Linked DNA regions of Macaca fascicularis. The protein of the gene in region 1 interacts with the protein of each later gene in a pairwise test. Links are inferred from orthologs where the notes say so. Each region holds a gene or a part of one and is shown in the gene's direction. Other genes may lie near its edges.

The links. The genes of interacting proteins can lie anywhere in the genome.
Region 2: the proteins of MS4A12 (region 1) and PLLP interact in binary tests that used the Homo sapiens proteins (3 or more experiments, as listed by UniProt). The two-hybrid records come from large-scale screens. The link is inferred for Macaca fascicularis from reciprocal best matches to the Homo sapiens genes MS4A12 and PLLP.

The regions. Positions count from the first base shown.
Region 1 is NC_088388.1:13,728,949-13,733,282, reverse strand, and holds the start of MS4A12 (membrane-spanning 4-domains subfamily A member 12), read left to right. Parts: upstream 1-1,460; coding exon 1,461-1,739; intron 1,740-4,334. UniProt on the Homo sapiens protein: May be involved in signal transduction as a component of a multimeric receptor complex.
Region 2 is NC_088394.1:53,367,997-53,370,308, reverse strand, and holds the end of PLLP (plasmolipin), read left to right. Parts: intron 1-860; coding exon 861-977; 3' UTR 978-1,799; downstream 1,800-2,312. UniProt on the Homo sapiens protein: Main component of the myelin sheath that plays an important role in myelin membrane biogenesis and myelination. Plays an essential function in apical endocytosis. Regulates epithelial development through the regulation of apical endocytosis.

The DNA.
Region 1 (4,334 bases):
TATGGCATCAAAGACAGAAGTTTTGTTGTTGGGCAGTTGCAGGAGCAGAGTCAATACCCTGTCACCAAGGCTGGCCTGGAAAACAAGCTACAGTGATGCTGTATGGATGACTGGGGGTGGAGGGGGATTCTGAACCAACAGCCAAGAATCCCATTTTCAAGTCCTAACTCTGCCACACGTTTTCTATGTAACCTTGAGCATGTCACTTAACTTGACTCAGCTTCAATTTCTCATCTGTAAATGAAGGGGAATGAGACAGGATAAATGGAAAGGGTCTTTCCTACCCTAAAATTTCTGGATTCCATGAGCACAGGGTCTGAATATGTGTCCCTGTTAGATACCAGTGAAACACTGTACCAATAGGTTATTCATAGTATTCATACTTCATACCAAGAATGAGACATTCATCACTGTAACTTTCTTGATACTCATAAGTACATGAAAAATTATTTGAGAAGACCTCAAAAAAAGGAATCTAAGGCTAATGACAAATTTTTTAAGTGTCATAATTTTTTTTCAAGAATTAATAGTCATTGTTGTCCATATCCAGTTGTATTGGCTTATTTCCAACAAAATTTCCCTTGGCTACATGGGGCCTGAGATGCTCTAAGCTTTCAGAAGGACAGAAATGAGTAAGAGCATTTTTCCTAAAGAACAGGAGAATCATCTTAAATGGGCATATGTGAACCATCTAGTTTCCCAATTACTGGCAAATAATTTCAATCTTGGACTGCCCTCTTTGCCATACAAGTATTGTATTACTTGGCCCCTGTATTAGTTTTCTATTTCTTGATATAACAAACTACCACAAACACAGTGGCCTAAAACAATATATTATTTTATCTGACAGTTGTGTAGGTCAGAAGTGCCATACCAGCTCACTAGACTAAGGTCAAGGTGTCAGTAGAGTCAGGTTCCTTCCTGGAGACTCTAGGAAGAATCTGTTTCCTTGTTTCATCCAGCTTCTAGAGGTGACCCACATTCCTTGATTCATGGACGCCTTCCTCCATCTTCACAATCAGCAGCATAGCATCTCTCTAATGAGAGATGGGTCCGGGATGAAACTGTTCCACCTCAGATCATCAGGCATTAGAGTCTCATAAGGAGCATGCAACCTAGATCCCCAGCATGTGCAGTTCACAGCAGGGTTCACGCTGCTATGAGAATCCAATGCCGTGTTGATCTGATAGGAGGCAGAGCACAGGCAGTAATGCTTGCCCGCTGCTTACCTCATGTAGTGTGGCCAGATTTCCAACAGACCACGGACGGGTAACAGTCCTTGGCCTGGGGGTTGGGGATTTATGAGAATCATGTTTCTATCAGATGTTATGGACCATTATCTGTCACTTGCTCTCTCCATTATCATAGATAATTGACATTTGATATTTGGTAAGATTTTCTTTAGTTTCTTTTCTGGATAAACGTATCACTTTGGTATGTTTTGTGATACTTAGGACATCATGGTGTCATCCAAGCCAACAAGCCATGCTGGAGTATATGAAACCACACCCAACCCTTACTACCCACCAAGCAGCTTTACGGCTCCTGGATCTCAACAGCCTCCGGGTTCAATCAACTTAGAAAACCAAGCTCAGGGTGCTCAGAGTGCTCAGCCCTACTTCATCACATCTCCAGGAACCTCTGCTGTCAGTCAACCAGGTCAAGGAAATACACAAATGATAAATCCAAGCGTGGGAAGAGCAGTAATAAACTTTAAAGAAGAAGCAAAGGTACTAGGGGTAAGTCTACTTACTACTAGAATTTTAAACTCACATTTGCAAGGTCTTCTTATAAGTTATAGGAGAAGAGAATATCATCCAATTGCTAAAAAGTTTTGAATGTTATTCTGAAACTATCCCTTTTAGACAGAAATATTTAGTCTGCCTATAGACTTTCCCTTGAGTTCATTTCATTTTAGATCAAGCAAAAATATAACAGGAGACAGAGGAGCCTCCCTAGCTGGAGGATTTGGTAATATTGACATGACGGAAACTCTACTACATCTAGCTTGATCTCATTTCTTCAAAGGACTTTTTGGACAATCTCAATCTCGTCTCCAGATTGGTTACAAGTCAGGTATTTGCATAAAGGTGAATTTACATAAAAATGAACATTGATGGCTGCCTCCAGAAAAGGAAACTACAAATGGGCAGTCTGGGAAAGGCTGAGTGTGAAAGAATTGGGGGACGTTCCATCTGTTGTGCCTCTCTCGCCAATATCCTTAGAGATGCTACAGCGTAACTGTCACCTTATTCCTACAAAGGAGACTCTGAACTGACCACCTTGTTTCTGTAGGCATTGTAAAAACAAAAATGCCCTATTTGTAAGAAAATTCCACCTGCCTAGGTAGAATTGTTACTCCCTTCGCTGTGCTTTCCAAATACCTCATTCATCCCGCTAGTACAATTCCACCAAACTATATTAAGTCTCTCCCTGTGAATAGCTTGAAATTCTCTGCTGGAGCATTCCGTAAATGAATGCTCATTATGTGCCAGAAAATCTTCTAGTCATCTTACTACCTATTTCAAGTTGTGATGTTTTAGGGAAGTAAAAATGAGCCTAAGTTCTCTTGCAGCAGCCTATTTACTAAGCTGTGGAGGTGGCCCTTCTGATCCTCTTCCTCCCAGATAGAGGAAATTCCCCACTTCTAATAAGCCAATGGGACAAACCCCCCATACAGCCAACCCCACATAGGTGCTTGGAAAATATCACCGAGTACAAAGCAGGTGCAATCTCTGCCTTTACAGAACTTTTGCCCTAGTGGGGGAAATCAGACTGTAAACATAAGAAGGAAGTAAAGTACTTAGTGTATTAGAAGGTGTCGAATGATATGGACAAAACAAAGAAGTGTAAAAGGGCTAAAAAGTACCAGACAGTGAGGAGGCAGCAATTTCAAGGCAGTCAGAATGGGCTTTCCTTAGAACATGACATTTGAGCAAAAACCTGAAGTTAGGAGTGAGCCCTGCAGATATCAGGGAAAGTGAAAACAACCAGTGTAAAAGTCTTTAGATGAAAATATCTGTGATGTATTTGAAAAACAGGGAGAAGGCCAATAAAATAGAACAGAATGAGGGAGGGAGGGAGCAGTTGTCAGGAGGGCAGAGGAGTGGCAGAGGCCACAGCTGGTGAGGCCTGCAGAGCAGAAGGCTTTGGCTTTGACTAAGTGGATGACGAACCACTGAATCACGCTGCCTGGCACCAAAAAGGCGTGTGATAAAAATACTTTAAAAGACTATGAAGTTTTGTTTAAAGCTCCAGTTGGCAGAAGCTACTTCCTCTCTCTGAAGATTGTTATTTCTATACCATCAGCAGGCCCCAGGCATCACGACAGTGCAGGGGCCACAGGTGGCAGGACGTGGCACACCTGTACCAGTCAACTCAGACCTTAAAGTGCTTCTGTGTCCACAAATGCAGACAAATTGTATGTCCAAATTTTTAAGTGTGTCCTATAGGCAATTTTCATCAGTAAATGGTACAGCCAGGGCTGTAGGAGGAGAAATGAGGGCCAGTACAAATCCAGATCTAACTGTCCCTCATCAAGGTGACAGCAAGGATGAGGATGGGAAGTTTGTGGCCAGATGGCTAAATTGCTGCTCTAAAGAAGAGTTGTAAAAACCAAATATAAAGTCTAATACAGGAGTTCTTTAAGTGAGATAGGCTAAAGGAGGCCCATCATGCCTCTGAAACTATATGCAAAAGTATGGTATGTGTGTGTATGGAGGTGCAAGAATAATTTTTTAGGGAGAAAGGTTCACGGTTTTTATCAAAGTCTCAAGAAACTGTTAGCATTGTTTATAAAACTGGGTTTTTTTATTTTAATTCAATTTACTTGTGTTCAGTAGCTTTTTATTGAATAAATACAGCAGTCTTTGTATTTGCAGTCTTCCTGGATAGATAAGGTGTAAACATGGGGAAAAATAAATGACAAATCTACAGTCAACTTTTGGACCAATCTAGAAATGGTTATTCCTCAGAAATCTATCTTTATTTACAGTGAAGGAAGGTTCAATAAGAGGTACAAGGAGCTAAAAGATGCATACCTTACTTTTAGTAATATATGATTGGTAAGAAGAATGGTAAGAAAATGATTGCACACCTGCAACTTTTTAAAAGAGAACAATATCAATGAATACAAAATCAAGTAACAAGGTGTGTTTTATGTCATGAGATGCAACAGAAATTTAGAAAAAAAGAAAAAAGATTAATTTGGTGTAATCAAGAGGGCTTCATGGAAGAGGTAGAGCAGAGCTGAGCATGGGGGAAGACAGTACTGAATAGTTCAGACAGGCTCAGCAGTCAATGTGCTGCGGTAAATTCCCAGATCTGCCCCTCAG
Region 2 (2,312 bases), on another chromosome or scaffold:
TATGGAACCTTGTAAATCAACTGTTGCCACACTCACTTAGGGTCATGTGCCCCCTTGGAGAATGTGAAAAACTGGATGCTCTCCCACTGACAAGTGCACGTGCAGAAACCTTGTGGTTTAAACCATTCTGGGAGATTCATAGGCTCTCCCGTGAAACCCAGACTCCAGGCCCACGTCAGGTGGCCAGTGAAGTGGCTGCAGTCCCCTCCACGCCTGTCACCCTTCACACCACCAGGCCCTGCACACCATCTCCTCCCAGGATCCTGTGACACCCACAGTGAGGGAGAGGAAGGGACTACCAGTCCTTTTTGACAGACAGGAGGCTCCCGCTCAGAGAGGTTGGACTCCGGGCCTGGAGCCACGGCCAAGCCCAGGGGAGGGCAGGGCCTCGATGGGCACTCATTTGGTTCCTTACTCTTCCTGATGAGGGCAGTTTTGAAATCAGCAAATTCAGTGATGGAGACAGAGACGGGGAGCTTCTGAATGTGGCTGCAGGTGTTAGTATAGAGGCGTGAACTGGTTCTAGAAAAATTCCTAGGCTGGCCTTTGAATGTTGTCTTTTTAGAACTAAATCCTTGCTAGATGTCCCCTCTGTCACTCTTATCTTGTCCTTCATTGTCCTTATCACAATCTGATAGGCCCCGCCTGTGGTTCTTAGCTGTTTCCCGTGCTTAGAAGGTAATGTTGGCATCCCAGGACCCTGGTGCTCATCAGCTCCATGATAAACAGCTGTGAAATGCATCTGGCTGAGTGTGAGATGGTGCAGCTGCCAAAACCCCTCCTGCCTGGCCTGAGATCTGGTTGGAGCTTGTGTCACTGTTACCCTCTTGGTCCTTACACCCTTCTCGCCTCTCTTTCAGTTCTTTGCATGTTTGGTGATGATCGCCTATGGAGTGAGTGCCTTCTTCAGCTACCAGGCCTGGCGAGGAGTAGGCAGCAATGCAGCCACCAGTCAAATGGCTGGCGGCTATGCCTAAACCACCTGTGCCACGGCCCTCTCTGGGGCTGAAGCCGCCGCTGGGTCACAGAGCAGGGTCACCCTGCAAGCCCGAAGCTGGGGAGCCCTGCGCGGAGTCAACCTGACAGCGACTGCACTTGCTCCTCTCTGCCCATCAGACACAAGCTCTCACAGCGCTAAGGAAGCAGGCCCAGGCTGGCAGGCATCTGGGCTTGCAGGAGGCCAACTGCTGAGACCTCCTCTCCATCCCCCTTATTCAGTGGAAGGTGACGGGGGATCTGAGGCTGTGTCTCTGCCTTGTCTTTAGAGGACTTCAGCGTCCAAGACTGGGGCCTACCCTTCTCACCAGCACTAAATGCACTAACAAGGACTCCTGACCTGCAGCCCCAGACTCGCCGTAGTATAAGCCTAACAAGCAACATGTAGCACCTTAGTCTTCGTTCCAGGAGAGCTGAGCAAGCTCGTGAAACCATTCTCCTTCCTTTAAACACCGTTCCAACCAACCTCTCCCTGGAGCCAACCTGTAAAAAGTGGGTTATGATTGTTGACCGCATGGTCTTCCCTCCCTGCATTTTAGACATACCAGTTACTGAAAACAAATCAGTTTTAAGTGACTTCTCAATGCTGAAAAGCCTGTCCAGGTTTCCTTCACTTTCCCAAGCCTCTCTCTGTAATACTCCCTTTGGGCGAAGCTAACCTCAGTGCTGACTGCCTCCCTGACCCTGCTGACTAGGCACATGGGACACGAAGGAGGGAGGGAAGTGAGGCCTTGCCTGGCAAGTTGTCATGTGGTTGGTGGTGACTGTTTTATTTTTTTTTAATAAAAAGATAAGAGAAGTTATTTGGACAAGATGTTGGGGAATCACTTTTGCAGGTGCTTGTAACCTCCAGGAGACCTCAGCTTGACTGTAGAAGATGCCTGCTGTAGGGCAGTTCATGTTCCGGAGTCGTTCAGCACCACCTGCCAACTCTTTGACCAGAGGAAAGCTGCTTATACTTCCTGCTTGCTGGGTCTAGAACAGTCCTGGTTTATGCTGTTTGTGCTGGCATAAGTAGAATAGCACGGCCTTTTATTCTCACAAGTGATTCAATTTGACAATAACTTAGTCACCCTTGCTTTGAGCAGGTTAGGTGAGCTTACTAAATGAAAGATTTCAATAATATCACCTACCTTGAAGGTCTGTGAAGCTTGGAGGTCATATAATCAAGGTGGCTGGCCATGCTGCCTGCTCAGAGCTGGTAGAGACAGCAGAGGAAAGCAACCGAGTACTCCTGAGCTTATTTTTCTAAGACCACAGAGCAACGTTCTCTGAACAATAAGGTAAAAGCATTTCTAGGCACCCTCTGTACCCTT